Linked DNA regions of Arabidopsis thaliana. The protein of the gene in region 2 interacts with the protein of the main gene of each other region in a pairwise test. Each region holds a gene or a part of one and is shown on either strand. Other genes may lie near its edges. The genes, in order: MUB4 and UBC11.

What was found.
Region 1: the proteins of UBC11 (region 2) and MUB4 interact in a two-hybrid assay, tested with the Arabidopsis thaliana proteins (one study listed by BioGRID).

What each region holds. Positions count from the first base shown.
Region 1 is NC_003074.8:9,945,084-9,949,944, forward strand, and holds MUB4 (membrane-anchored ubiquitin-fold protein 4 precursor), read right to left. Parts: upstream 3,002-4,861; 5' UTR 2,711-3,001; intron 2,436-2,710; 5' UTR 2,362-2,435; coding exon 2,232-2,361; intron 1,700-2,231; coding exon 1,529-1,699; intron 1,446-1,528; coding exon 1,384-1,445; 3' UTR 673-1,383; downstream 1-672. Other genes in the region: AT3G26960 (Pollen Ole e 1 allergen and extensin family protein), read right to left, coding at 1-116, 193-376; AT3G26990 (ENTH/VHS family protein), read right to left, coding at 3,343-4,095, 4,349-4,384, 4,470-4,609. UniProt on the Arabidopsis thaliana protein: May serve as docking site to facilitate the association of other proteins to the plasma membrane.
Region 2 is NC_003074.8:2,639,339-2,643,636, reverse strand, and holds UBC11 (ubiquitin-conjugating enzyme 11), read right to left. Parts: upstream 2,626-4,298; 5' UTR 2,412-2,625; exon of another isoform or gene 2,272-2,411; intron 2,170-2,271; 5' UTR 2,151-2,169; coding exon 2,081-2,150; intron 1,713-2,080; coding exon 1,585-1,712; intron 1,503-1,584; coding exon 1,398-1,502; intron 1,292-1,397; coding exon 1,148-1,291; 3' UTR 718-1,147; downstream 1-717. Other genes in the region: UBC12 (ubiquitin-conjugating enzyme 12), read right to left, coding at 86-155; AT3G08680 (Leucine-rich repeat protein kinase family protein), read right to left, coding at 3,047-3,687, 3,765-4,298. UniProt on the Arabidopsis thaliana protein: Accepts the ubiquitin from the E1 complex and catalyzes its covalent attachment to other proteins. Mediates the selective degradation of short-lived and abnormal proteins.

The DNA.
Region 1 (4,861 bases), 7.3 Mb from region 2:
TATGGCTACCTTGTACAGTCCAAACTCGTTGGTGGTTCTGTTTGCAGAGAATGTTATAGTCTCTGTCGTTGTTGACGAAGCTGCTTTGAATCGGCAGACTATCCTCACTTCCACACCTGTGTAAAGAAACGTTAAGAAACAGAGTTTTTGCAGGGAATTAATTAAAGAGATCTTTTTGTTCTGAGTTACTACCGGACATGAAGTAACTGTGTTTAGAGAAACTGTTTTTGGAGCAAACATCGCAGTAAACAAAACCCATTATAGTGATTTCTGCATCTGGTTTTGGTTTGGGTGATGAATGCTTTGAAGATAGAGAGTTTACGAGCAGAAATTGCAGAAGTATAAAAAGAAACATTGTCAGTGATTTCTTCGTCATCTTAAGCACAACAAGTTTCAAGTTTGGTTTATTTGATATTTATGTAAGAATTGGAGAATATGTGTGTGAAGAAAGAAGAAATATAGGGAACTAGTTTTCAGACAAGAATAGAACTCTCTTGAAAGAGCTTCGTGGTTCCTTTCTATATATAGAGAGAGTTATACAAACGTGTCTTTTAAAAATAGGCTTGGATACGAAACGGATATTTTTACTATTCATTTTGTTTTTCATAGTTACAATATTCGAATCGGATTAAAGTAAATACCATATCGAAGAGAAAGTGATGGGAGTACAAAGAAAGGTGCATTTGGAGTGAAGATTATAAATGAGAGCCAGAGGAGAGGAATAGAATTAAAGGCGAAACAAGACAAGATAGTGGAGAGACACTAAGTGAAAGTGAAGGTTATAAATGAGAGAATTAAGTGGGAGACAGTGATAAGTTAGGTGAAAGGACATTTATTGAGATCTCATGCTCTCTGTTTCTTTTGGAGGTTTGTATCTACCTACATCCCCAAAACATTGGCTTTGTGGAAGTGGAAAATGATGAGAAAGGTATGGACCATATAGTAACATATCAAAGTGTTTGCCACTCAAGAACCAAACTGCAAACGTTTAGTACTCGTTTTCACTGTAGGTAATGGACTGGATAAAGATGTTTGGATACAGTTTTGGGCGGATCCTGATAGAGAAAAAAACCAGGTCTAAAATGTACTAAAGATTGACAAAACCATACAAGATATGTTACAGAGATACTTGAATTAGTTCGCGGTAACAAAACTCTTATCTTTATAAAGGATGCTCCAAACAAGAGTTTTTCCATCACAGCTCAAGAGAAACAACTCTAATAGACTAGCTTTATAACGCCATAGATGAAGGTTTCTTTGAACTTGTGAAGAAAATGTCGAATATGAAGCGGTAGTTTATGTTTATATGGTCTTTTAGCAAATACCACAGAGAATCAAAACTTAACTCTTTCAGATTTTTTGACTTGGGACTTGTTGTTGTTCTCACATTATGGTACATGAGCAAAAGCTTCTCTGTGGGGCTTCTTCCTTTTCGATTTTTTTCTCTGTAAGAGAAAGAAAAAACAAGATATTAGGCTAAAGAATTCATTCCACAAACAAGATTTACGGAGATAAGAAAGAACAAGACCTGGTCTTGCTTTTGTTGGAGACAGTTGCACGACAACATGCATTGTAATGACGGATTTAGGGAGATCATCAAATGGAGCTTTACACTGTGCAACAGTTTTACCATTCTCCAAAATCTTACCAGCATTTATCAACTTGATGTCACTAGCTGATTTTGGAACAATCTTCTTGTCTACACACATTCAAAACCCCCAAATTCGATTAGTCAATAAGATACAATAGGAAACAAAATGAGACAAATTCAATTTTTTGTTGAATGCACAAGACTGAAGAGTAAGATCAAGAAATTCTACTAAAAAGAACCAGAACAGTATTCGTCCCTATAGTCTCTAAAGACATGATTTGTAGTATAAGACAAGTGATTAGTAATACAATCAGACCAATTCAAAAGCCTATACCACAAGTGGAGAAACTGTTAAAACATAGATCACAAGATCGAGTAACCTTTTAAAAGATCAATAGTTTAACTTCCTTCTTCTGTTCCTACTTTAAGACAAATGATTAGTAAGTCAATCAGATCCTATGACTTATGTCTGAACTTTGTCTATCAAGCCACAAGTGAAGAAACTGAAGAAAAAAAAAAATGGCTGAAGCAAACGTTCTAAAGCCAAATCTAAAGCATTAAAGAGCACTTCTATCGCATTTTTACTTCTTTTTCACGGATTAGCCGAAAAACAAACCAAAAGATTGTGCTCGGTGCTAACCTTTAGGCCATTCAGAGACAATTCTCTCCTTAAGCATTGACACTGTGGCGGTTGGAGAGTACTGAAACGGGCCAACATCTGAACCGTCATATAACCGGAATTTCAGTTCTACCAAATCTTCCTCCGGCATTTGATTATCTCTTTCTCCCAATACAAAACTCTCACAAGAAAGATTTCACCAGAAAGAATCCACCCAAATGAGACCTATAATAATAAGAGGACAGAGAGATTCTCAAATTCAAAGCATCAATGAAATTGTCGAAGCAAAGAACAAAAATATTTAGAGAAGACTAGTAATAAGAGCACAGTCAAACTTAAAGGAATCAATTAGGAAATTTTCAGTTACTGTCCAAATCAAGAACTTGGACCAAAGGAACAAGAAGAACAATAAGCAAAAGAAAAATAAAAACTTGGAACTCATCTAAGCAACCTAAGCTCCTAAACCGTCAGATAAAGTTACCACAACACACAAATCTTACCCGGACTAGAGACACTCAATCCAAATGTCCAAGTTTGCTAGGTTTTGAGTCTTGGGAATGAAGAGAATCAAGAAAGTAGGAGAGAAACCCTTAAAAGGGTAAATGACCTAATCTCAAAGTGAAGCTGGTAAAATCCAGCTAAGAGATTGCTGCTATGTGATTCTATCAAAGTTTCTGATATGTCTTTCGTCAGGATTGCCGCGTTACAGGGAATCCCTGACGAGTAAGGAAATAAGATAAAAAGACAAGAAAATTGTGGAAAAGTATGTTTCTTTATTAGTCAAAAGCAAAGCCTTGTCGGCGTTTTGACCAGAAGACTTTAAAAGACGAGCAACAAATCACTTTGGTCCAAATCTGACTTCCATGTAAATTTCAAAGAGAGGAACAAGAAAATTTGAAAATCTATAGAATCTTCCAACAATAGTAAAATCTCAGAGCAAAACAAAGGATTTTTATGATATGTTTACAGAGTTGAAACCTTGGATTAGACGCACAATTAGAAAGCATACAAAGCACATTTTAAGAACATAAAATCCTAATTATCAAAAGCCCATTGAAACTATATTTAACAAAAAAAAACCAAAAAAAAAAGTGAACTTTTTGCTATATGAACCCCTACGAACAGATTTACACTACTGGCGAGTGACAGGTGTAATAGGCACAGATGAGTTAATGCCATAGAAACCATCTTGTCCCTGAAACTTCTGGTATGAATTCTCCGATGGAGCAGAGGTTGTTGAAAGTTGAGTGAGCCCAGGTACCCAAGGACCTTGTTCTTGTTGTTGTTGCTGAGTGGTTGCAGTAGAGGTTGCTATGGTGTAGTTGAATGGTGTGTGGTTTACTGGCCCGGGAGGCTGTAACGGCTGCAAAAACTGAGGTTGAAGCTGGAATGGTGGTGGTGGTGGAAGCGGTTGTGGGGGTGTGGAGGATGATGTTGTTGCAGTGTTCTGATGGTGCGGTGAGAGATACGACTGGTCATGATTTTGAAGCTTAGGTCTTTTCTCTGGTGGGAAATCGACGGATGATAGAGTTTCTGTTACAGCAGGTGGGTTGTTGTTTCCGATGATGCCTTCGGAGGCTAAGGAGGAGAGAACATAGGAGAGCATCTCGGCTGAGGAAGTTGAAGCAGTTAGCTTAGCTACCACTGCAGCAGCAGCAGTTTTTCTTGGGTCTTCCAGCGATTGAGTTGGGTTTGAGGCAAACATAACTGGTGCAGATTGTTCCACATCGCTGTGTGTGAAGCTTTGTGGTGCTGCTGCAGTGGATGAAACTTTGATAACTTCTTTTGACTCTTCTTCTTCTGTAGCAGGAGGCTGTGAACTACCACCATGGTCTAGAAGCTGTCTGCAGAGATCACCAGTTCGGTCTGATTGAAACCGAGCAATCTGAAATCGTAGCACAAATGAAATCAATTCAACTAAATAGCATAAAGACAAGGCAACATTCTGTTTGGAAAGGCAACCAAGAACCCTAATTAGATTTGGGTCTATCTTCCTTGAACAAATTCACTAAACAAGCTTGAAGCTAGACCAGCATGTCTCGGAAAGTACTATTGAGAACGTTATGATGTATTGTGTAAATTGAAATGTATAAAATGTCTGAGGAACAAATATCACATTTGTTGGTAAGTATTCAAACCTGAAGGTGGTTACGGACTTGCTCCAGCTTGAGTTCCTGGACACAAAAACAAAAACAAGGTGAGGTTTCTGGCCGGTGCAATGAAAGATGTTGTTTTGAAAGAAAATGTATAAATGTAAACCTGTTCTTGTAAAGCTTCTCTCAAATGTGAGATAAGACTTGTTCTGGATGTCTCCATTGCCCCTAGCTGTTCGATGCAGTCTCTCAATATGACATGTTGTCCCTGCAACTCCTTCACCACCGCTGGCCCAGGGGCGTGTCCTATTTAAAGCAATGCTCAAGAAGTAAGATAGTGAAAACAACTTCAAATGGATGCTTGAACAAGAATTGGATCTTCTCTATCCTACAAGTAAAGAAGTGTAATATATCTACAAGCAGTTAATATAAAGACCAGTCCCAGTAATCAGAAATGTAGTGACAAAAATTAGGGATCCAAAATTAACCAAAATGTGTAGCACTGGTTATTCTCGTTGCGGATTGGGGGTAAGTGCTCTTATCATTAAATGATTTGAC
Region 2 (4,298 bases):
AATAAAAGTGTGACATATATCAAACCCTAAAAGTGTTTTTAGTGTGAATCTATCAGTCAAAATCAGCCAAGAAAAGGGAGATTACCTGCGCTACAGTTTGCTGGAGGATGTCTCTGCATATCCCTCAGTTCCCTTGAAATCCTCTTAGAAGCCATGCTTTTAGACTCGAAAACCTGCGGACGAGATAAGCAACACACAATGAGTATTAAGGAATTCAACTAAGAACATAACATATCATAGAGGAAGACGAATAAAACAATACATACGTAACGTAAGTGATGATAAACCCTAAGAAGTAGTTGAAACAGAAAACATAAAGGAAAGATGGATCAAAAGAAACATACCACAACAGGAGATTGAATCTTTTTTTCAAGGCCACTACAAAAGAGAGAAGAGATTCGTGAAAAGCCTAAAACCCTCTACTTCTTTTTTATAGTCGGAGAATACAAGTCAGTCTCGAGGCTTCTGATTCTGTCGGCAAGTACCGCCTGACCTATTAGTAGGGACCCATGGCGGATGATATTGGAAAATTGCAACCAAAGATATGTTTATTTTCTAAAACACCTATTCTTGGTTTGGTCTAAAGATATTCTTGGTTTGGTCTATAGATATGATATTTCCTAAAACAGCTATTGTAAACAATATGGAAAATTTCTTAAGTGTTTTATTAGAACCATGTACACTTTTGAAATATATTAAAAAAATTAAGAAAATCAATAATTTAATCATAAATATACCAACTTTGGTATAAGTTAATAGAAGATTAGGAACGAGTTTTGTATTTGGGAGCAATGTATAATCCTAACTATGGAAGGCTCATAGTTGGTTTGGTTTTGGTTGTGGTTGATCCATGTGTAGATTGGAACCCCTTATGTCAAGAGTGTACCAAAACAGTCCAAACATTGCGTTTGGGGCGATTAGAATTGCAGTTTCCTGCAACCAAGTGAGGAGAGGGAAACAAGAGAATAAAAGTAGACCCAACAATCGAAATTAATACTAGTTTATAGTGATCAGAACAGAAGAGGAGTAAGAGCAGCTAAGTTGTTCGATACTTGCTAACGTTTGATAAACCAAACAAGTGCATTTTTTTTAAGTTATTATTTTATTCCGATGCGCAATAACATATCCTTTGCTTTGTCTTATATCATCAACCCATTGCGTACTTTTGTGTCCAGCTTCTCGCAGTTGACTCGTACTTGGATCTATCTGTCTTGTACATGTGAGCTATCTCCGGCACAAGAGGATCATCTGGGTTTGGGTCAGTCAACAGCGAGCAAATCGACAACAGAACCTAATTTCCACAGCATCAATATCGCTCGCGTTAACACACAAAATTGGCTAAGATAGTAACATAATTTGTGTTAAAATGGTAGGAGTAGAGATACACAAACTCGAACCTTAGAGATAGTAAGAGCAGGGCTCCATTGCTCTTTCAAAATATCAAGGCAAATACTTCCATTGCTATTGATGTTTGGATGGTACACCTTAGTCTTAAAAGACACCTGCAAGATCGATGGATTCACATCATAAGATCAATGATAAAAACCGATGAATCATAAAGAGTCTCATAACACAACACATTACCTTTGGTGGCTTGAAAGGATAATCCGGAGGGAAATGAATAGAAACCAAAAACACTCCTCCGGCATACGGACTTTCAGGAGGTCCCATGATAGTGGCTTGCCAATGGAACATGTCCTCAGCCACCGGACCTAAAACAACGTGACAACAAAATTACATCAATAAAGACATATTAGCAGGAGCTACAAAAGGAGACACTTTGACATAAACTCAAAACCATGCAGAGTTCTGGATACTTGTCAAATACAGGACAGGAAAGGGTAAATATGAAGTGCATAACAGACAACAAAATCCATGAGATCAGCGTTAATCAAAGAGTCTAGCAAACCAAAGCTTTTACCAAAAAAAAAATCAGAAGCATAACATGGATTGAGGAAATAAAGTATGATACTTGATACCCTAACCTACATCAATCTAGTGAGAGAGTAAGGAACCTAATTCAGAGTCATTAGTGCCAGGTAAGTAATTGGTTAAAATCAGATTAGAAAAGGGAGATTACCAGCGCTGCAGTTTGAAGGAGGATCCTTCTGCAGATCCTTGAGCTCCTTCAAGATCCTCTTAGAAGCCATGCGTCAGAGACGAGAAAACCTGTGGAAACCCCCAACAAGACCAGAATATTATTGAACAGAGGATATAACTTAAGACAATCAACTTAAGAACAAAACAGATCACAGTGGAAGAACCAGAGACCGAACAAAACAACACAAAACGTAAGTGATCGGAAACCCTATTATTAAGCGGTGGAAACTAATCGCGCAAAACAAAAACAGAGGACGATTCGGGAGAGAAAGAAATTAGGGTTTAACCAAAGAGAAATGGTGGAATTAGACCTGGAAGAAGGACGGACAACACAAAGCGAGAGCTTCTTTATCGGGAGAGAAGAGAATCGAGAATAAAAATGGAGTGCAAAGGAGAAAACGAAACTTGTTACTTTGCCTTTCTTTATAGTCAGAGAATCTAAAACAAGTCAGTCTCGAAGCTTCTGATTCTATCAGCAAGTACCGCCTCACCTATTTCACCTTTTCTATATATTTATTAATTCTCGTGCCAAAAGTTTTTTTATTTCACCAATTAGGACTCATGCAGTCAAAAAATACAGAGCAATGATTTTATTTTTATTTATTTACTCATGTAGTTTATCTTTTTGAGACGATAAATTTCACATATAATTGTATCACTATTTCAGTTAGATTTTCAAACACCCAAAGACTCTTGTGATTTAATTTAAACGAATCATACAACAACAAATGAAAATTCAAAACTAGTCGCACACTTATAACCAATCTAAGAACTACAACCATTCATGGTGAGGGTTTCAATTACACTACAATTCCAGATATTGATTGGAATAAATTATGCAGTCAGACATAGAGAACTAAAATAAACGGTTTATGAAGAAGAAGAAGAAGGAAAAGCAAAAATAAATAATGATTTGAGAATGAGAGAAAGAGAATTTAAAACCAATCTAAACCGGGCTATCAGAGCTTCTGATCATCTCCGGCGAGGAGGCTCTGTTACCAGAACCAGGACCGGACCCTGAAGGTCGAATCTCCTCCATCATGTTAACCACTTCCTCCATTGAAGGCCTAGAATCTGGATGCTTAGACACACATGCCATTGCTATCTGCAACATCTGCACCATTTCTTCCTCTACGTTGTGTTGCTGCTTGATCAGCTCTACGTCAAACACTTCTCCAGTCCACTCCTCTCTCACCACTGATTGCACCCACTTTGGCAGATCCACCACTTCTTCATGCCCAGTAGTCTTCCCTGCTGCTTTCCCAGTCAGCATTTCTAGCAACAGTACACCAAAGCTGTATACGTCGGACTTCTGGGTATGTTTCCGTGTTTCTATGGCCTCGGGTGCTCTGTAACCTAAGCTTCTTGATGGGATCAAGGTGTGATGGCTCATCAATGGAGCTATACCGAAATCAGAGACACAGACATGAAGTTCTTGGGTTAAGAGGACATTTGGTGATTTGATGTTTCCATGGAGGAGTTTAGCACCAGATGCAGAATGGATGTGAGAAATTCCCCTCGCAGCTTCCAAACAGATCCTTAACCTTGTTTCCCAGTCCAACGCTGCTCTTCCTCCCTCATTGTTTCCTGCATAGAATTCATCTAAAGTGTTACTTTAAAGCCACTTTTTATAACCTTGAGTAACATGTAAAACATCATATTACCATGAAGCAGCATGGAGAAATTGCCCCCTTGGTAGTAATCATACACGAGTAGCTTCTCGTCTTTTGAAAAGTAATAGGCACGGAGAGGAGCTACATTCACGTGTGGACTGATCCTTCCCACGGCTTCCATCTGCTGCTCGAACTCCCGTTTCCCAGCTGCTACTTCTTTCAGTCTCTTCACCACCACCGTGGTTCCTTCCTCTAAGATGGCCTTATACGTTGTGCCATAGCTTCCTTTCCCTAAAACTTCAGCCGAGGCTCTGAGCAAGTCCTCAAGATCAAAGTTATATGAACTTCCTTCAAAGAAGACCAGCTTGTTCTTCTCCGCCTCTTGCACCCCACTCCCAAACTCCTCAGCCTTGTTGTCACTCCTCCCGGGTTTAGCTTTTGGCACTGCGGTGCTATCTTGCCCGCCATCTCTTTTCTTGGCACAGCAAAGGGTTATGATGGCAAGAATGATAAACAACAGAACCGAACCTCCAACTGCAATGCCCACAATAGCACCAGTGGAGAGAACTTTTTTGGCGGTACCAC